2 linked regions of the Anolis sagrei genome follow. The protein of the gene in region 1 interacts with the protein of each later gene in a pairwise test. Links are inferred from orthologs where the notes say so. Each region holds a gene or a part of one and is shown in the gene's direction. Other genes may lie near its edges.

Region 1 (11,490 bases):
TTATTATTATTATTATTATGTTTATTATGTTTATTTATGCTCCACTCTCTCCACAAAGGAGACTCAAGGCAGCTATATTTATATAAGTGATTATAATAATACAATATAATGAGATATATATATTTTCTTCTCTTCTTGATAGCATTTGCAGCCTTGGATTCCGTACTGCAGCCTTGGCCTCATTTTTGGCTTTGTCTTCTCGTTCGGGATGGGACCAGGTCAGCGCTCTCATTTTACAACATTTTATATCATATAATAATAATAATAATAATAATAATAATAATAATAATAATAAAACTTTATTTATACCCCGCTACCAGCTCCCCATGGGACTTGGTGCGGCTTACATGAGGCCGAGCCCACAATACAACAATACAAGCAAAACAAGCAACAACAATACAATACAAAGCAATTAAAATCTCATAACACAAAAAGCATAAACATTTAACAAAATACAGTGCGCAATTAAAATCTATGGCATATTACATTATTTAATATGAAGTTAATTTTTCTATGTAATATTTTAAGTTTGGTTAATTTCCTTGTTTTTAAATTTTTCCATTTTTAATTTCAATAATTTAAAATAGAATTAATCATTTTTTAAAAAAATATGAATTCAATTTAAATATGAAACATTTTTAAAATATTTACTTTTTAAAAAATTGATTTAATATTAATTTAATGTTTCTATGTAATATTTTAAGTTCAGTTAATTGTCTTATGGCTGGGCCAAATGTAATTAAAGTTTAAAAAATAATGGTAATATTATCTTTATAATAATATTATATTTTTACGGTTGCAATTATGTTATTTTATTATTGTTTATATTATTATATATTACAATTTTTGTACAATAATAATATATTATTATGTTGTTTTATGTACTATTATTATTCTATTATTTTTAAAAACATTTTATATTCTTATTTTTATTATTGTTATAGTATTATTAGCAGCTGTTAGGGATTGTGGGAGTTGTAGTTCTAAACACCTGGAGGGAAGGAGGGCTGAAGTTGCCTGGCCTAGGCGCTATGGACTAGGATTGCATTGGGCATTTGCGCTGCTGCACCCCACTCCCAGGGGGGTGGGCTAGATGACCCCTGGGGCCCCTTCCCTTCCCAGCCCTCTTCTCCCACTTGGGTCCACAGCAGGGGCCACGGCGTCTGTCCGCATGGAGATCTTTGACCAGGCTTCGAGACCCTCCTCCTTCGTCTTCAGCGCGGTCTTGAATTGGGTCGGGACCCTCGTCATCGGGATGGTCTTCCCCTTCATTGTGGTAAGTAAGGGGCACGCACCTGCGCCATCCCTACAATCAGAACCACTATTCTTAGGCTTACTTATGCCCGGCCTTATTTAAAACATTAAACCATTAATTAAATTTTTTAAACCTTTTTTTAAAAAAAATCCACTTAAATTAAGTTTTGAAATCTGTATTAATTTAATACCAAATTTTATTTTTCTATGTAATATTTTAAGTTTGGTTAATTTCCTTATTTTTAAATTTTTTTATTCCATTTTTAATTTCAATAATTTTTCTATGTAATATTTTAAGTTCAGTTTATTACCTTATTTTTAATTTTTTATTAAAATTTTAATTTCAATAATTTAAAATAGAATTAATAATTTTTTTAAAAAATATGAAGAATGATTTAATTTAAATATTTTTAAATATTAAATATTTTTAAAATATTTACATTTTTTAAAAAAATTCAATAATTTAATACAGAATTAGTCATTTTTTAAAAAAACATTAAGAATGATTTAATTTGATATTTTTAAAATATTAAATATTTTAAAAATATTTACTTTTTTTAAAAAAAATTAATTTAATATGAATTTAATTTTTCTATGTAATATTTTAAGTTCGGTAAATTTCCTTATTTTTACATTTTTATTCTATTTTTAATTTCAGTAATTTAAAATAGAATTAATCATTTTTTAAATATTAAATATTTTTAAAATATTTACTTAAAAATTAATTTAATATGAATTTAATTTTTCTATGTAATATTTTACGTTTAGTTAATTTCCTTATTTTTACATTTTTATTCTATTTTTAATTTCAGTAATTTAAAATAGAATTAATCATTTAAAAAAATATTTAGAAGAATTTTCTATGTAATATTTTAAGAATTTTCTATGTAATATTTTAAGTTTGGTTAATTTTCTTGTTTTTAAATTTTTTTATTCCATTTTAAATTTCAATAATTTAAAATAAAATTAATCATTTTTAAAAAAATATGAAGAATGGTTTAATTTAAATATTTCAAAATATTAAATATTTTAAAATATTTAAAATATGAAAAATGGTTTAATTTAAATATTTTTAAAATATTAAATATTTTTTAAATTTTTACTTTTGTAGAACAATTGATTTAACATGAATGTAATTTTCCTCTTTTTCTCCTTCCTGCAGGAACACTTTGGCCAGTTCTGCTTCCTGCTTTTCATGGCCGTCTTGTATCTCTCCGGTTTCCTCGTTTACTTCTATCTTCCGGAAACCAAAGAGAAGTCGATCATGGAAATCCGGAAGGAATTCGACAAGATCAATTTCAAGAAGGAATTGGAAACGAGCGCTGCCCCAGACGCCCCCGCCTTCTGCACCAAATTATAAGGATTGGGGGGGGGGGGGGGGGGATAGATTTTTGGACCCCAAAATTCCTTCTTTCTAGAAATCCAAATTTATGCTTCCATTTTTTGTTAATAAAGCAACTGTTCTCGCTCTCTAAGTTACTTTGCATCCTTGTTATCTGTGTCTGTCCACCACAAAAGAATTACTGATAGTAACTACAAGTAACGGCAACTAATTATAATGCAAATTACCCAAATAACTGCAGTTGCAAAAAGAAATGTAAGTAACTACATTGTAAAACTAATTATATAAAAGTAACTGCAAAAGTAATTACAATGAATTAGAACATAAAAGCAACTGGTGAAAAGTAACTCTTGTTGCAAAAGGAAATGTAAGTAACGACATCATAAAAATAAATATGCTTATAAGTAACTAACACAAAGGTAACTGCTGACAAGTAACTCTTGTTGCAAAAGGAAATGTAGATAACATCGTACAACTAAATGTATAAAAGTAACTAACAATAATTACAACTATAACATAAAAGCAACTGCTGAAAAGTAACTCTTGTTGCAAAAGGAAATGTAAGTAATGACATCATAAAACTAAATGTGCAAAAGTAACAGTAACAATAATTACAAGTAACTACAATACAAAAGTAACGGCTGAAAAGTAACTTGTTGCAAAAGGAAATGTAAATAACAACATCATAAAACTAAATGTGTAAAAATAACAGTAACAATAATTACAAGTAACTACAATACAAAAGTAACGGCTCAAAAGTAACTTGTTGCAAAAGGAAATGTAACGACATTGTAAAACTAAATGTGCTTACAAGTAACTAACACAAAAGTAACTGCTGAAAAGTAACTTGTTGCAAAAGGAAATGTAGATAACATCGTACAACTAAATGTATAAAAGTAACTAACAATAATTACAACTATAACATAAAAGCAACTGCTGAAAAGTAACTCTTGTTGCAAAAGGAAATGTAAGTAATGACATCATAAAACTAAATGTGCAAAAGTAACAGCAATAGTAATTACAGGTAACTAACACAAAAGTAACTGCTCAAACGTAACTGCAGTTGCTGAAGGAAATGTAAGTAACAACATTGTAAAACTAAATGTGCAAAAGTAACTACTCAAAAGTAACTGCATTTGCAAAGGGAAATGTAATTAATTACAATACAAAATGAAATGTACAAAAGTAATTGCAATTCCAAAAATGTGTTGAAAAAGGAAATGTAAGTAATGACATCATAAAACTAAAGGTACAAAAGTAGCAGCAACAGTAATGACAAGTAACTACAACACAAAAGTAACCACTCAAGAATAATCATAGTTGCAAAAGGAAATGTGAGTAATTATAATACCAAACGAAACGTACAAAAGGAACTGCAATTACAAAAAGAAAACCATGATATGTAGTTGAACTGCAGATACTATTATTATTATTTTATGTATTTATTCCTTGCTGTATCTCCCTAAAGCGAACTCAAAGCGGCTCAAAGAGATCGGTGTAGATAACGTTATCACTATGCCTAAGTAACGAATGCTGGACAAGGTGTGTCTTGAACTACTTTCTAAGGGGCACTCTCCCTTCCCGCTCTCTGATTGGTCCTTGTCAACTCACTTCCTGCATTTTCTGCCAACTTCTGCCCAGAAATTGCATTAACTGCAAACTTGAAAAGGGTCAACAATTAGCTTGCATCAACTTTTGGTTTTCCTTTGGCCAAAGTGGAAAGAAAGAGGGAGAGACGGACAGAATGGCCGCCTTAGTCTCTGACCGGGTGAGCCATAGAATCCTAGTGATGGGATGGCAGAGTTGGGATGGTCCCCCAAAGGCCATCCAGTCCATCCGCTTGGGTCCCCCAGCCTCTTGAGTCCATACATTACTTTTCATGACTTATTTCTTCTGCTGTTGATTCCTCTCCCAAAAGGATTCCTTGGTTGATATCTAATTATACTTCCAGAAGAAGATCTCCAACCTCTGGAGACCAGGATGCAAGGGAGACATGGCTTCCAACTACAGGAAAGAAAGGAGATTCCACCTGAACATGAGGAAGAACTTCCTGACTGGGAGAGCTGTTCAGTAGTGGAACTCTCTGCCCCGGAGGGAGTGTGGTGGAGGCTCCTTCTTTGGAAGCTTTTAAGCAGAGGCTGGATGGCCATCTGTCAGGGGTGATTTGAATGCAATATTCCTGCTTCTTGGCAGAATGGGGGTGGACTGGATGATGGCCCACGAGGTCTCTTCCAACTCTAGGATTCCATGATTCCATGATTCTATGAATGTGTCCAGAGGAGGGAGACTCAAATGATCAAGGGTCTGGAGAACAAGCCCTGTGAGGAGTGGCTTCAAGAGCTGGGCATGTTTAGCGTGCAGAAGAGAAGGCTGAGAGGGGATATGATGAGAGCCCTGTATAAATATGTGAGAGGAAGCCACAGGGAGGAGGAGGGAGCAAGCTTCCTTTCTGCTTCCTTGGAGACTAGGACGCAATGGAACAATGGCTTCAAACTACAAGAGAGGAGATTCCACCTGAACATGAGGAAGAACTTCCTGACTGTGAGAGCCGTTCAGCAGTGGAACTCTCTGCCCCGGAGTGTGGCGGAGGCTCCTTCTTTGGAAGCTTTTAAACAGAGGCTGGATGGCCATCTGTCGGGGGTGCTTTGAATGCAATATTCCTGCTTCTTGGCAGAATGGGGTTGAGCTGGATGATGGCCCACCAGGTGAAATGTGGACCATTTCCGCTCCCTTGGCAGCCACCTCTCCACAAAAGTCAACATTGATACTGAGATTCAACACCACCTGAGCTCTGCGAGTGCAGCATTTTCCCGAATGAAGCAGAGAGTGTTTGAGGACCGGGACATCCGTAGGGAGACCAAGGGGCTTGTCTATAAAGCTATTCCCCTCCCAACCCTGCTCTATGCCTGTGAAATGTGGACTGTCTACAGATGTCAACACTGAGACTGAAATACAATACTGCCTGAGCTCTGTGAGTGCAGCATTCTTCTGAATGAAGCAGAGCATGTTTGAGGACCGGGACATCCGAAGGGAGACCAAGGGGCTTGTTTAGAAAGCTGACTGGGAGAGCTGTTCAGCAGTGGAACTCTCTGCCAAGATTCTTCTGAATGAAGCAGAGAGTGTTTGAGGACCGGGACATCCGTAGGGAGACCAAGGGGCTTGTTTATAAAGCCATTGTCCTCCCAACCCTGCTCTACGCCTGCGAAACGTGGACTGTCTACAGATGTCAACATCGACACTGAAATACAACACCGCCTGAGCTCTGCGAGTGCAGCATTTTCCTGAATGAAGCAGAGAGTGTTTGAGGACCGGGACATCCGTAGGGAGACCAAGGGGCTTGTTTATAAAGCCATTGTCCTCCCAACCCTGCTATATGCTTGCGAAACGTGGACTGTCTACAGATGTCAACATCGACACTGAAATACAACACCGCCTGAGCTCTGCGAGTGCAGCATTTTCCTGAATGGAGCAGAGAGTGTTTGAGGACCGGGACATCTGTAGGGAGACCAAGGTGTTTGTCTATAAAGCTATTGTCCTCCCAACACTGCTCTATGCCTGCGAAACATGGACTGTCTACAGATGTCAACATTGAGACTGAAATACAACATCGCCTGAGCTCTGTGAGTGCAGCATTTTCCCAAATGAAGCAGAGAGTGCTTGAGGACCGGGAAATCCATAGGGAGAGACCAAGGGGCTTGTTTAGAAAGCTGACTGGGAGAGCTGTTCAGCAGTGGAACTCTCTGCCAAGGGGAGGGAGGGCTCTCCTTCCTTCCTTCCTCCTTCTTCCTTCCCTGCCTTCGGGCTCCAGGAGGGTCTGCCTGTTTGTCTGCCTTTTCCAGGCTGTCCTCGTTTGAACCCTCTCTGCCTCCCTCCTTCCCACGTGACGCGGGGGGCGTGTCTGTGTCCCCCCCAAGGGGGTGTGGCCACCCCTCCCCTGGCCCCGCCCTCTTCCGGTCCTGGCCAGCTACGTGCTTGCACGCACAGACTGCCTTCTTCCCTGCCTTCCTGCCTTCCTTCCTTCCTTCCTTTCCTGCCATTGCGCTGCATTGCGACCCAGGCGGGCTTCTGTTTCCTTCCTTCCTTCCTTGGCTTCCTTGCTTCGACTTCCTTCCTTGGGGGAAGATGCCGATGTTCGTGCTGAACACCAACGTGGCGGCGGAAGGCATTCCGGACAGCTTGACCGCAGAGATCACCGACCAGCTGGCCAAGGCCACCGGGAAGCCCAGCCAGGTCAGGAAGAGAGGAAGGGAAGGAGGGAAGGAAGGGAAGGAAGGAAGGAGGAAGGAAGGAAGGAAGAGCGGGAGATGGAAGGAGAGAAAGCACAGGAAGGAAGGAAGGAAGGAAGGATGGGAAGGGAAAACGAAGGAAGGAAGGAAAGGAGGATAGAGGAAAGATTCCAGGAAAGGAGGGAGGGAGGGAGGGCTGGAAGGAAAGGAGGAGAGGAAGGGAAAGAGGGAAAGAAGGGAAGGGAAGAGAGAGAAAGGAAGGAAGGAGAGAAGGAGAGGGGAAAGATGGGAAGGGAGGACAAAGGCAGGAAGGAAAGGAGGATAGAGGAAAGATTCCAGGAGAGGAGAAAGGAGAGGAGGGAAAGAGGGAAAGGAAGGAGGAATAGAGGAAAGGATAGGAGGAAGGCAGGACAAAGGAAGGAAGGAAGAGGGAGAGAAGGAAGGAGAGAAAACTCAGGAAGGAAGGAAGAGAGGGAAGGATGGGAAGGGAAAACGAAGGAAGGAAGGAAAGAAGGATAGAGGAAACATTCCAGGAGAGGAGGAAGGAAGGAGAGAGGAATGAAGGTCTGGAAGGAAAGGAGGAGAGGAAAGGCTATGGAAGGAAGGAATACAGGGAAGGATGGGAAGGGAGGGCGAAGGAAGGAAGTGAAGGGAAAGAAGGGGGAAGAGAAAAAGGATTGCAGGAGAGAAGGAAGGAAGGAAAGGCTCAGGAAGGGAAGGAAGGAAGGAAGAGAGGAAAGGGTGGGAAAGGAGGGCAAAGGAAGGAGGGAAGTGAAGGGAGAAAGAAAAGAAAGAAAGAGGAAGAGATGGAAGGAGAGAAAGGCAGAGAGAGAAAGGAAGGGCCAAGGAAGGGATAGATGGATGGAAGGAAGGACAAAAGGGAGGAAGGAGGGAAAACTATAGGAGAGGTGAAAGGAGAGAAGGAAGGAAAGGAAGGAAGAAGTGGGCGGAAGGAAGAATGAACACAGAAGGAGAGAAAAGGAGGGAGGGAAAGACCAAGGAAGGAAGGAAAGATGGAAGGGAGGGAGGGAGGAAAAGGGGAAAGAAGGAAGAGAAAAGGGAGGAAGATTCCAGGAGAGAAGGGAGGAAGGAAGGAGAGAAAGGGAGAAGGGAAAACAAAATGCTAAAGAAGGAATAGATGGAAAGAGGGAACACAGGAAAGGATGGGAAGGGAGGGCAAAGGAAGGAAAGAAGGGAAGAAAGAGGAAAGATTCCAGGAGAGGAGGAATGAGAGGAGGGAAAGAGGGAGGGAGGAATCTTCTCTGAGAGAAAGCTCACACCCAGACAATGCTCTCTTGTCTTCTTCGCCCTTCCTTCCCTCCCTCCACCCTTTGTGACCTACTTATTTCCCCCCTTCCTTTCTCTCTTCCCTCCCTTTCCTTCTCCTCTTCCTTTCCTTCCCTCCATCCTTCCCTTCATTCATTCTCTCCCACCCTTGGCTACTGCCTTCTTTCCTTCCTTCCCTCTTTCCTTCTTCCTTCCCTGCCACCCTTTGTTCCCTCCTTCTTTCCTTCCTTCCCTCTTTAATTCCTCCCTTTCCCTCTCATTTCCTTCCCTCCCTTCCACCCTTTGTTCCCTCTTTCTTTCCTGTCTTCCCTTCCCTCCTTCCTTTGCTTTCCTCCATCCTTCCCTTCTTTCCTTCCCTCCCTCTTTCTTTCCTCTCTTCCCTCCCACCTTTTTTCCCCTCCTTCTTTCCTTCCTTCCCTTCCATCCTTCATTTCTTTCCTTCTCTCCCTTTGTTCATTCCTGCCTTGCCTCCATTTCCTTCCTTACCTCTTTAATTCCTTCCTTTCCCTCTCATTTCCTTCCTTTCCTCCCTTCCACCTGTTTGTTCCCTTTCTTTCCTCTCTTCCCTCCCCCCTCTTTACCTCCCTTTCTTCTCTTCTACATTCCCTTCCACCCTGTTACCTAATTCTTTCCTTCCTTCCCTTTCCTCTAATTTCCTTTCCTCCCTTCTTCCTTCCCTCCCACCCTTTTTCCCCTCCTTCTTTCCTTCCTTCCTTCCTTCCTTCCTTCCTTCCTTCCTTCCTTCCTTCCTTCCTTCCCTCCCTCCTTCATGTCTTTCCTTCCCTCCCTCCCACCCTTTGTTTCCTCTTCCTTCCTTCCCTCCTTCATTTCCTTCCTTCTCTCCTTCCCTCTTTCACTTTCCCCAGTACATCGCGGTGCACGTCCTTCCCGGCCAGCGCATGTCCTTTGGGGGCTCCTCGTCGGAGCCGTGCGCCCTGTGCAGCCTCCACAGCATCGGCAAGATCGGGGCCGCCCAGAACAAGGCCTACTCCAAGCTCCTCTGCGCACTCCTCCAGGACAAGCTACACATCCCGCCCGACAGGTAGGTAGACAGGTGGGCAGAGCGCCAGGGGACCACAGAAGGCAGCCAAGCAGGCACCCCACCCATCGCTAGGGACCACATTGACTCAAATCTAAGGCGCACCCCTTTGGGCGGGTTACAATTAAAGATTATTATTATTATTATTATTTTCCCCTAAACTGCCTTCCCAAAACCAGGCTGCACATTAGATTCACATCATCTATGGTCAATACTTTTGTGGCTTTCAGGGTTTTGAACATGGAGGGGCGCATCAGATTCGATGGCGCATTAGACTCCAGGAAATACTATATATATATATATATATATATAGAGGAATTGTTAGGAATTGTGGGAGTTGAAATCCCAACACACCTGGAGGGGGGGAGGGCCCAGGTTGGCCCATGCATGGTGTGTGTGTGTGTGTATGTATGTATGTGTGTGTGTGTGTGTATATACACACACACACACACACACACACCATGCATGGGCCAACCTGGGCCCTCCCCCCCTCCAGGTGTGTTGGGATTTCAACTCCCACAATTCCTAACAGCTGGTAATAATATATAATATATAATAATAATAATAATAATAATAATAATAATAAAATAATAATAATATTTTAATTATTATTAAATTGCACCAGTGGTGCAGGAGTGATGACTGGAAGGTTGGGTTGCTGACCTGAAGGTTGCCGTTTCGAATCCAACCCAGGCAGAGGAGGGGTGAGCTCCCTCTGTCAGCTTCAGCTCCATGCAGGGACATGAGGGAAACCTCTGGGCAGCATCCTTGCAGATGGCCAATTCTCTCACACCAGAAGCAACTTGCAGAATTGCACTAGTGGTGCAGGAGTGATGACTGGAAGGTTGGGTTGCTGACCTGAAGGTTGCCGGTTCGAATCCAACCCAGGGAGAGTAGGGGTGAGCTCCCTCTGTCAGCTTCAGCTCCATGCAGGGACATGAGGGAAGCCTCTGGGCAGCATCCTTGCAGATGGCCAATTCTCTCACACCAGAAGCAACTTGCAGAATTGCACTAGTGGTGCAGGAGTGATGACTGGAAGGTTGGGTTGCTGACCTGAAGGTTGCCGGTTCGAATTCAACCCAAGGAGAGTATGGATGAGCTCCCTCTGTCAGCTTCAGCTCCATGCGGGGAAATGAGGGAAGCCTCTGGGCAACATCCTTGCAGACAGCCAATTCTCTCACACCAGAAGCAACTTGCAGTTTCTCAAGTCACTCCTGACACACACAAAAATTAAAATAATATAATATAATAATAAATATTTTAAATAATACAATATGATATATAACAATCTATATAAATAATGTGTAATGTCCGTTTGTTGCAGTTACTCCTGACATGAAAAAAATTAAAATGATATAATATAATAATAAATATTTTAAATAATATAATAATACAATATGATATAATGTGAGATACAACAATCTATAGAAATAATGTATAATGTCCGTTTGTTGCAGTTTCTCAAGTTACTCCTGACACGAAAAAATTTAAATAATGTAATAATAAATATTTTTAATGATATAATAATATAGTACAATATAATATGAGATATAACAATCTATATGAATAATGTGTAATGTGCGTTTGTTGCAGTTTCTCAAGTTACTCCTGACACATAAAAATTAAAATAATATAATAATATAATATGAGATATAACAATCTATATAAATAATGTGTAATGTTTGTTTGTGGGATGAACATAACTCAAAAACCACTGGACGAATGGACACCAAATTTGGACCCAAGACACGAATCAGGCCGACAAGTGACCATTACTCATAAAAACACTGAAAAACACAGCAGAAAGGGCTTAAAAAGCAAAAAATACATTACAATGCATGTGCAAAACCACATATATACACATATACACACACAAAACACATGTTGTTATTGTTATGGTCATTTTAAAGCTAATTGTATTGTTTTAATCTGTTTCTGTAAACCACTCCGAGCCAAATTGGGAGTAGCTGTATACAAGTTGAATAAACAACAACAACAACAACAACAATAATAATAATATACACAGACTGGGCCACAGCAACGCATGGCAGGGGATCGCTAGTAAATATTAAAAATAGTATGTTAAACAAAATAATAAAATATAATAATATAAAACAATATAACAAATATTAAAATATAATAATAATAATAATAATAATAATAATAATAATATACACAGACTGGGCCACAGCAACGTGTGGCAGGGGATGGCTAGTAAATATTAAAAATAGTATGTTAAAACAAAATAATAAAATATAATAATATAAAACAATATAATAATAATAATAATAATAATAATAATAATAATAATATACACAGACTGGGCCACCGCAACGCATGGC
Region 2 (10,736 bases), on another chromosome or scaffold:
TCCCTGGTACAGTGGTCCCTGATCAAGTGGTCCCGGGTCAAGGTGGTCCCTGGTCAAGGTGATCCTTATTCAAGTAGTCTCTTTTCATGTGGTCCCTGGTCAAAGTGGTCCCTGTTCAAGTGGTCCCTGTTCAAGTGGTCCCTGGGCAAAGCAGTCCCTGGGCAAAGTGGTTCCTGGTAAAAGTGGTCCCTGGTCAAGGGGATCCCTGGTCAAAGTGGTCCCTGTCCAAGTTGTCCCTTGTCAAAGTGGTTCCTTTTCAAGTGGTCCCTAGTCAAAATGGTTCCTAGTCAAAGTGATCCTTGTTCAAGTGGTCCCTTGTCAAGGTGGCCCCTGTTCACGTGGTTCCTGGTCAAAGTGGTCCCTGTTCAAGTGGTCCCTGGTCAAAATGGTCCCTAGTCAAAGTGATCCTTGTTCAAGTGGTCCCTTGTCAAGGTGGTCCCTGTTCACGTAGTCCCTGTTCAAGTGGTTCCTTGTCAAGGTGGTCCCTGTTCAAGTGGCCCCTATTCAAGGTGGTCCCTGTTCAAGTGGTCCCCAGGCAAAGCGGTCCCTGGGCAAAGTAGTCCCTGAGCAAAGTGGTCCCTAGTCAAGTGGTCCCTGGTCAAAGTGGTTCCTGTTCAAGTGGTCCCTGGTCAAAATGGTCCCTAGTCAAAGTGATCCTTGTTAAAGTGATCCCTTGTCAAGGTGTCCCTGTTCAAGTAGCCCCTGTTCAAGTGGTTCCTGTGCAAAGTGGTCCCTGTTCAAGTGGTCCCTTGTCAAGGTGGTCCCTGTTCAAGTGGCCCCTATTCAAATGGTTCCTGGGCAAAGTGGTCCCTGTTCAAATGGTCCCTGGTCAAGATGGCCCTAGGTACAGTGGTTCCTGTTCAAGTGGTCCCTGGTCAACGTGGTCCCTAGTCAAGTGGTTCCTGGTCAACGTGGTCCCTAGTCAAGTGGTTCCTGGTCAACGTGGACCCAAGTCAAGTGGCTCTTTTCAAGTGGTCCCTAGTCAAGTGGTCCCTGATCAAAGTGTTTCCTGTTGAAGTGGTCCCTGGGCAAAGTGGTCCCTGGTCAAAGTGGTTCCTGTTCAAGTGGTCCCTGGTCAAAATGGTCCCTAGTCAAAGTGATCCTTGTTAAAGTGGTCCCTTGTCAAGGTTGTCCCTGTTCAAGTAGCCCCTGTTCAAGTGGTTCCTGCGCAAAGTGGTCCCTGTTCAAGTGGTCCCTTGTCAAGGTGGTCCCTGTTCAAGTGGCCCCTATTCACGTGGTCCCTGGTCAACGTGGTCCCTAGTCAAGTGGTTCCTGGTCAACATGGACCCTAGTCAAGTGGCTCTTTTAAAGTGGTCCCTAGTCAAGTGGTCCCTGATCAAAGTGGTTCCTGTTCAAGTGGTCCCTGGTCAAAGTGGTTCCTGTTCAAGTGGTCCCTGGTCAAAATGGTCCCTAAGTCAAAGTGATCCTTGTTAAAGTGGTCCCTTGTCAATGTTGTCCCTGTTCAAGTAGCCACTGTTCAACTGTGATCTCTGTTCAAGTTAGTCTCTTTTCGAGTGGTCCCTGGTCAAGTGGTCCCTGGCCAAAAAAAGGTTGGGAACCCCTGCTTTAAACCTTCCTCCATCCAAGCCATTGATAAAAGAAGTCCAACAGCACTGAAGGATAACAATATCGAGGATAGCTTTGACGGTGTGGTGAATGAATTAGAACCAGACATCCTGAGGAGTGAGGTTGAATGGGCCTTAAGAAGCATTGCTAACAACAAGGCAGCAGGAGACGACGGGATCCCAGCTGAACTGTTTAAAATCTTAAAAGATGATGCTGTCAAGGTGATGCATGCCATATGCCAGCAAATATGGAAAACACAAGAATGGCCATCAGACTGGAAAAAATCAACTTACATCCCCATACCAAAAAAGGGAAATGCGAAAGACTGCTCCAACTTCCGTACAGTGGCCCTTATTTCTCATGCCAGCAAGGTAATGCTCAAGATCCTGCAAGGAAGACTCCAGCAATACATGGAGCGAGAGTTGCCAGATGTTCAAGCTGGGTTTAGAAAAGGCAGAGGAACGAGAGACCAGATTGCCAATATCCGCTGGATAATGGAGAAAGGCAGGGAGTTTCAGAAAAACATCTACTTCTGCTTCATTGACTATTCTAAAGCCTTTGACTGTGTGGATCATAATAAATTGTGGCAAGTTCTTAGTGGGATGGGCATCCCAAGCCACCTTGTCTCTCTCCTGAGGAATCTGTACAAGGACCAAGTAGCAACAGTAAGAACTGACCACGGAACAACAGACGGGTTCAAGATTGGGAAAGGCGTACGGCAAGGCTGCATCCTCTCACCCAACCTTTTTAACTTGTATGCAGAACACATCATGCGATGTGCGGGGCTGGATGAATGCAAAGCTGGGGTGAAAATTGCTGGAAGAAACATTAACAACCTCAGATATGCAGATGACACCACTCTGATGGCCGAAAGCGAGGAGGAGCTGAGGAGCCTTCTAATCAAGGTGAAAGAAGAAAGCGCAAAAGCCGGGTTGCAGCTGAACGTCAAAAAAACCAAGATTATGGCAACAAGAATGATTGACAACTGGAAAATAGAGGGAGAAAATGTGGAGGCCGTGACAGACTTTGTATTTCTAGGCGCAAAGATCACTGCAGATGCAGACTGTGGCCAGGAAATCAGAAGACGCTTACTTCTTGGGAGGAGAGCAATGTCCAGTCTCGATAAAATAGTAAAGAGTAGAGACATCAGACTGGCAACAAAGATCCGCCTAGTCCAAGCCATGGTATTCCCTGTAGTAACCTACGGATGTGAGAGCTGGACCATAGGGAAGGCTGAGCGAAGGAAGGTCGATGCTTTTGAGCTGTGGTGCTGGAGGAAAGTGCTGAGAGTGCCTTGGACTGCAAGAAGATCCAACCAGTCCATCCTCCAGGAAATAAAGCCTGGCTGCTCACTGGAAGGAAGGATGCTAGAGACAAAGTTGAAGTACTTTGGCCACATCATGAGGAGACAGCAAAGCCTAGAGAAGACAATTATGCTGGGGAAAGTGGAAGGCAAAAGGAAGAGGGGCCGACCTAGGGCAAGATGGATGGATGGCATCCTTGAAGTGACTGGACTGACCTTGAAGGAGCTGGGGGTGGTGACGGCCGACAGGGAGCTTTGGCGTGGGCTGGTCCACGAGGTCACGAAGAGTCGGAGACGACTGAACGAATGAACAACAACAACAGCACTGAAAAGCCCAGGAGAGAAACCTCTTGCTGGCATGCGAAGAGTCACTTCTTTCCGGGATGAACCATTGGAGAAAAATCCCCTTTGGGTTCAGCGACTTCACCAGATTCAAGGAAAGAATGCTGCCATGCTAGATTTTTTTCCACCCCATTTACACACATCAGAGAGGCTTATTTCCCACCGGAGGATATATATTTTGTTCCAACCTATCGAAGGAAATGGAAATTGAGTATTTTGACAACGGACTTTTCGGCGAACGGCGTTCCCGTTGGTCGTTTGTTTCATAGTCACCCATTTTTAAAGATTTTTTCCCCCTGCATGTCACCTCTCCAAATCCGGGTGTTGTTAAACAAACAACACAACTCCCTATTTGTCACGGCATTAGGACCCAGGCGCCGTGACCGGGCTTAAGCCTTCGATGCTGCAGAACCAGTTCCAGGGTGAGTCAAGGAGGCTTTCGGCGCCGGTTTCGTGGGACGTCCCAACCGTTCCTGGGTCGTCTATTTGGGTTCCCGGAAAGGAACAGGAGGGACCCGGCACCTTTTCCGGCCCAGATGGGCTCCCAGGAAGCTGCTCTGCCGCCCGAAAGGTGAGTCCCTTCTACCTGATCAGAGCTTGGTCCAAAGTTACTCCCAGGAGGATCTTCCTTGCAAACCAAAACAAACCAGACATTTTCCAATTGACTCGGATCCAATCCGTCTCACTTATTGCGGGAGTGACGTTCCAGGACCTCCCGCAAAAAGTGAAAATCCACAAAGTAGGGACGCTATATTTATTTGAATATTTAAACATTGTTTTAGTAGTAATACACTATTTTAAGTCTTTATAAACTTAAAATAAAGTGAAGGAAAGTAAGGATGGGAGGGAGGGAAGGAGGACCGAGGAGGGAAAGCATGTCGGAGAGCGGCAGCGGCAAAAACCCGTGAAACAGCGAAAATACCGCAATATATATTTTACATTAATATTTTTTCAAGGCTGATGGGAGGGAAGGAGGACCAAGGAGGGAAAGCGCCTCGGAGAGCGGCGGCAAAAACCCGCGAAACAGCGAAAATACCGTAATATGTATTTTAAATTAATATTTTTTGAAAACCGCGAAACACCGAGTCCGCTAGAAGTGAACAGCGAAGTAGCGAGGGAACACTATAGGTGAATGAGTGGATGGATAAATAACTGGATGGATGGGTGGGTGGGTGGGTGGGTGGATGGATAGATAGATAGATAGATAGATAGATAGATAGATAGATAGATAGATAGATAAACAGACAGATAGATAACAGGTGGGTTGATAAGCTAGGTGAATGGATAAATAGCTGCATGGGTAGACACATGGATATCTAGATGGGTGGATGGATAGATGGGTGGGTTGGTTGGTTGATAAGATAGGTGCTATGGAAAGCTGATGGGTAGATGGATGAATGCACAGATGAATAAAAGTATAAGATAGGTGGACAGATAGGTGAATAGGTAGGAAAATGGTGGATGGATAAATAGCTGGATGGATGGATGGATGGATAGATAGATAGATAGATAGATAGATAGATAGATAGATAGACAGACAGACAGGTGGATAGAAAGACAGATTGATACATGAATGGATGGGAAGATGGACAAATAGGTGGATAGAAAGAGATTGAGACATGGATGAATGGATGGATGATAGGAAGATGGGCAGATAGATAGGTGGATAGAAAGACGGATGGATGGATGGATGGATGGATGGATGGATGGATGGATGGATAGATAGATGGACAGATAGATAAACAGGTGGATAGAAAGACAAGTTGATGGATGGATGGATGGATGGATGGATGGATGGATGGATAGATAGATAGATAGATAGATAGATAGATAGATAGATAGATAGATAGATAGGAAGATGGACAGATAGATAGGTGGATAGAAAGACAGGTTGATACATGGATGGATGGATGGATGGATGGATGGATGGATGGAAAGATAGATAGATAGATAGATAGATAGATAGATAGATAGATAGATAGGAAGATGGACAGATAGGTGGATAGAAGGAGATTGAGACATGGATGGATGGATAGGCAGGAAGATGGACAGATAGATAGGTGGATAGAAAGACAGATGGATAGATGGATAGATGGACAGATAGATAAACAGGTGGATAGAAAGACAAGTTGACGGATGGACGGACGGACGGATGGATGGATGGATGGGTAGGTAGGTAGGTAGATAGATAAGATGGGCGGATAGATAAATAGATACGATTGGTTGATAAAGGGATAAGGTGGATAGGCAAATAGATAGGTAAATAGATGGATAGATAGATGTGTGCATTAACAAGGTGGATGGATGGATGGATAGGTAAATTGGTCGATGGATAAATAAATAGATAGCTGGATAGATAGATAGATAGATAGATAGATAGATAGATAGATAGATGAAATGGATAGATGTGTGGATTAATAAGATAGGTGGATGAATAAATAGCTGGGTGGATTGATAGATGAGTGGATTAATAAGTGGATGGATAGATAGCCAGATGGATAAAAAGATACAATAGGTGGATAGATGGATAAGGTCAGTGGATGGAGAAGTGGATAAATCAGTTGAATAGATAGATAGATAAGGTAAGTGGATAATTAGTTAGATAATTCAATAGGTGGATGGACAGATGGGCAGACAAATAGTTGGCTAGATGAATGGATAATCAATAGCTAGCTAGATGGATAGGTAAACAGATAGATGGATAGTGAAGCAGGCAATAGATGTATGTATCCTGTCTTTCTCGGCATATATACATTCCAGAAACCCTTTCTATTGTTATGATAGAAAACTCCAAAAGTCACCTGCGTGGAGCCTCCCTATCCAGAGGCAGCCTACCTCCAAATTCCAGGACGAAAAGCAGGTGACACTTAGTTTCTCCCCATGACTCTGTTTGTGTTGTTTGCATGCCACCAAAATCCGCCCTCCGTAAAAATAAATGCCTTTTCTGCCCGATCGGCTGAGCAGGAACTGGTACAGCTTGACAATCGAGTCTTATCGGAGTCTGGTTTTTTTTTAAAAGCCCATAAAGTTGGTAAGAAAAATACAACAGGGTGGTATCGATCTACACTGTAGAATGAATGCAGTTTGGTACCACTTCCAACTGCTGTCGGATCCCGGGATTTGTAGTTCGCTGAGGCCCCAGAGAAGGCCAAAGCTCTGGTGACAGTTGACCCCCAGAGGGAGATGCCCACTTGGCATAAATGATCCTATCTCAGCAGGACAAAGAACCTTCGGAAAGCCACACTTCGTCCTGATCTGTTTCCTCATTCAAACTTCCCTCAACCGAAACTTCAACCAAGATTGCCCCATTGTCTCCATATCCCAGCTCAAGGAAAATCCGGATCCTGGCAGGCTTGCCAGACATCAACGTTGATTGTCACCCTTCAAGACAATAAGCTGGCTGGCTTGAAGGCCCCTGAGGACTCGCCGGCCATTTGGACACCACATATTTCCATAATCCACTCAAGACCTAATTGTTTCCCTCACCCTTCAGGACAATAAGCTGGCTGGCTTAAAGGCCCCTGAGGACGCTGGCCATTTGGACACCACATATTTCCATAATCCACTCAAGACTTCATTGTTTCCCTCTCACCCTTCAGGACAATAAGCTGGCTGGCTTGAAGGCCCCTGAGGACTCACTGGCCATTTGGACACCACATATTTCCATAATCCACTCAAGACTTCATTGTTTCCCTCTCACCCTTCAGGACAATAAGCTGGCTGGCTTGAAGGCCCCTGAGGACTCACGGGCCATTTGGACACCACATATTTCCATAATCCACTCAAGACTTCATTGTTTCCCTCTCACCCTTCAGGACAATAAGCTGGCTGGCTTGAAGGCCCCTGAGGACTCACGGGCCATTTGGACACCACATATTTCCATAATCCACTCAAGACTTCATTGTTTCCCTCTCGTCCCACCTCCCTCTCTCCTGATTGGCCAGGGGGCCGAGGCGGCAGAAGCTCACCCATTGACTGAGGCGCTCAGGAGGCAGCCGAGCCTCCACCCAGCTGTAGAGCACCAGCCAATCATCGCCGAGCCGGCAAAGGGGTGGGGAGCGGCAAATTCAAAACTGACAGCTCTGTTTTATGTATAAAAGGCTTTATTTTGTATTCACTGTATGCTTGCCACGATTTCTCGTTGCTGCAGGTTGAAGAAGGAAACCGTAACGCAAGGAGATGAGTCGCTGAACATCACAGACATGGAGCTGAAGGAGGAATGGCAGGACGATGGGTTTCCTCGGTGAGCCCCATAGGGAAGGCTTATTAAGAGTGCGTCTGTACTGTAGAATTAATGCAGTTCGATACCCTTCCCTTCCCGCCGGAGTGTTAACCTATTGATCTACTCACATTTGTATTTTTTCAAACTGCGAGGTTGGCAGAAGCTGGGGCTAACAGTGGGAGCTCACCCTGCTCCCCGGATTTGAACCGGTGGCCCTTCGGTCAGCAAGTTCAGCAGCTCAGCGGTTTAACCCACTGCGCCACCGAGGGATCCTATATTGATTAGATATACCTATTATTGTACTATTATACAATATATTGATTAGGTATACCTATATTTTATACAATATATTGATTAGGTGTACCAATATAAAATATATTGATTCAATATACCTGTTATTGTATTATTATACAATATATTGATTAGATATACCTATATAGGAGGTTTTATACAATATATTGATTAGGTATACCAATATACAATATATAGATTAGATATAACTATTAATGTATTATTATACAATATATTGATTAGGTATACCAATATTCAATATATTGATTAGATATACCTGTTATTGCATTATTATACAATATATTGATTAGGTATACCAATACACAATATATTGATTAGGTATACCTATTATTGTATGATTATACAATATATTGATTAGGTATACCAATACACAATATATTGATTAGTTATACCTATTATTGTATTATTATACAATATATTGATTAGGTATACTAATATGTAATATATTGATTAGACATACCTATTATGGTATTATTATACAATATATTGATTAGGTATACCAATATACAATATATTGATTCAATATACCTGTTATTGTATTATTATACAATATATTGATTAGATATACCTATGTAGGAGGTATTATACAATATATTGATTAGGTATAGCAATACACAATATATTGATTAGGTATACCAATATACAATACATTGATTAGATATATCTATTATTGTATTATTATACAATATATTGATTAGATATATCTATTATTGTATTATTATATAATACATTGATTATGTATACAATATACAATATATTGATTAGATATACCTATTATTGTATTATTATACAATATATTGTTTAGGTATTCCAATATACAATATATTGATTAGATATACCTATTATTGTATTATTATACAATATATTGATTAGATATACCAATATACAATATATTGATATAGCTATTATTGTATTATTATATTGTTTGTGTGTGTGTGTATATATGTGTGTGTGTGTATGATTCTAAGGTGCGCTACATTTTTAGAGATGTTTATATGGGAGGAAAAGCATGCCTTAGAATCAAAGAAATATGTTAAATATATAGATGCTCCACCGTCTTACAACTCCTTCTGTTTCACAGGCCTCTTCCAGAAGAGATCTCCGGAGAGGATCTAGAAGGATCCAGTTCAGAATTGAGTCCCGGTAGGGTCATAAATAGTAATTTTATGTCCAGTTCCCTGGATAGACCCACCCACAGTGATTTCTGAAGACTACATTTCCCATCAACCTGGGTTTTAAAAAGCCACTTCCGGGGGAATTGCAGCCACCATTCTTGGGTATTCTGAAGACTACATTTCCCATCATCCTTGGTTTTAAAAAACCACTTTCGGGGGAATTGCAGCCACCATTCTTGGGTATTCTGGAGACTACATTTCCCATCATCCTGGGTTTTTAAAAGCCACTTTCGGGGGAATTACAGCCACCATTCTTGGGTATTCCGAAGACTACATTTCCCATCATCCTGGGCTAAGAAAAGCCACTTTTAGGGGAATTGCAGTCACCATTCTTGGGTATTCTGAAGACTACATTTCCCATCATCCTGGGTTTTAAAAAGCCACTTTCGGGGGAATTGCAGCCACCATTCTTGGGTATTCTGGAGACTACATTTCCCATCATCCTGGGTTTTTAAAAGCCACTTTCGGGGGAATTGCAGCCACCAAACCATTGAATTTCACCTGGTTGCAAGGGAGAAATCCTTGGAGAGGTGGTCTTGATGCTGAGACTTTCCTATTAGTTTTGACGTTGGCCAGGACTGATGGGAGTTGTAGTCCAACAACATCTGAATGATGTCCTCAAGCAGTCAAGTCAATGAATCTGTCCGTGTTTGTAGTCTCCAAAAAGAGACGAAGCTTGGCCCAACTCTTATCTATTCTGGGGTCTCAGGTATATAAAATTTTGGACTACAGAGCCCATCGCTCCCAGTCATAGTGATACTGAACCTTTGGGAGTTATGATCCAAAATTGGTTCTCTAGGAAACTTGGTCACAAAGAGTCAGAAGCAACGGAACGAATAAACAACAACAATAAGGAAACTTGGGAGTATTTTGGTTTGAATTTGAACCCGGGACCTTCCACTTGACCTTTGACCTTTGATCCCTCCTCCCCCCCCCCCCCGCCCCCCCAGTTGCCCTCAACACGCTGGAGCTGTGCGGACGGCGACACATGAAGAAACGCCTCCCGGCCCCCGAACTTGGAGACGGGTCAGTGAAGTCGGAGGAGTTTCCGGAACGGACGCCAGATGGGAGCCTGGACATCGATGTGGACGAGTTGGAGACGCCGTCCGAGAGCGAGCTGCAGGAAAGCCATGGGTTCGAATGGGATGGTGAGGGCATGGATTCGGGTTTCACCCAGAGCTCCTTTCCATATAATAAGTTTTTGGGGCTGCAAACCAAGCCCACTCCCAGGTATTAGGTTTTCCAGGCTGCAATCCAGAGCTCATCCCCATGTAATAGTTATTTCGGGCTGCAAACCAGACCTCATTTCCATACAATACGTTTAGTTGGGCTGCAAACCAAATCTCATTTCCATAGCTTAAGTTTTTGGGGCTGCAAACCAGAGCTCATTTCCACATAATAAAGTTTTTGGGACTGCAAACCAAGTCCACTCCCGTGTATTAGGTTTTGCAGGCTGCAATCCAGAGCTCATCCCCATGTAATAGTTATTTCAGGCTGCAAACTTGACCTCGTTTCCATATAGTACATTTTGTTCAGCTGCAAACCAGAGCTCATTTCCATAACTTAAGTTTTTGGGGCTGCAAACCAGAGCTCATTTCCACATAATAAGGTTTTTGGGGCTGCAAACCAAGGCCACTCCCATGTATTAGGTTTTCCAGGCTGCAATCCAGAGCTCATCCCCATGTAATAGTTATTTCAGGCTGCAAACCAGACCTCATTTCCATATAATACGTTTTGTTGGGCTGCAAACCAGATCTCATTTCCATAGCATAGTTTTTGGGGCTGCAAACCAGGTCTCATTTCCATAGCATAGGTT

The links.
Region 2: the proteins of MIF (region 1) and BNIPL interact in a two-hybrid assay, tested with the Homo sapiens proteins (2 studies listed by BioGRID and IntAct). The link is inferred for Anolis sagrei from reciprocal best matches to the Homo sapiens genes MIF and BNIPL.

The regions. Positions count from the first base shown.
Region 1 is NC_090026.1:764,155-775,644, forward strand, and holds the start of MIF (macrophage migration inhibitory factor), read left to right. Parts: upstream 1-6,537; 5' UTR 6,538-6,718; coding exon 6,719-6,826; intron 6,827-8,975; coding exon 8,976-9,151; intron 9,152-11,490. Other genes in the region: solute carrier family 2, facilitated glucose transporter member 11-like, read left to right, coding at 143-218, 1,149-1,276, 2,417-2,614.
Region 2 is NC_090032.1:5,211,631-5,222,366, forward strand, and holds the start of BNIPL (bcl-2/adenovirus E1B 19 kDa-interacting protein 2-like protein), read left to right. Parts: upstream 1-5,370; 5' UTR 5,371-5,931; coding exon 5,932-6,071; intron 6,072-7,361; coding exon 7,362-7,454; intron 7,455-8,826; coding exon 8,827-8,888; intron 8,889-9,870; coding exon 9,871-10,068; intron 10,069-10,736. UniProt on the Homo sapiens protein: May be a bridge molecule between BCL2 and ARHGAP1/CDC42 in promoting cell death.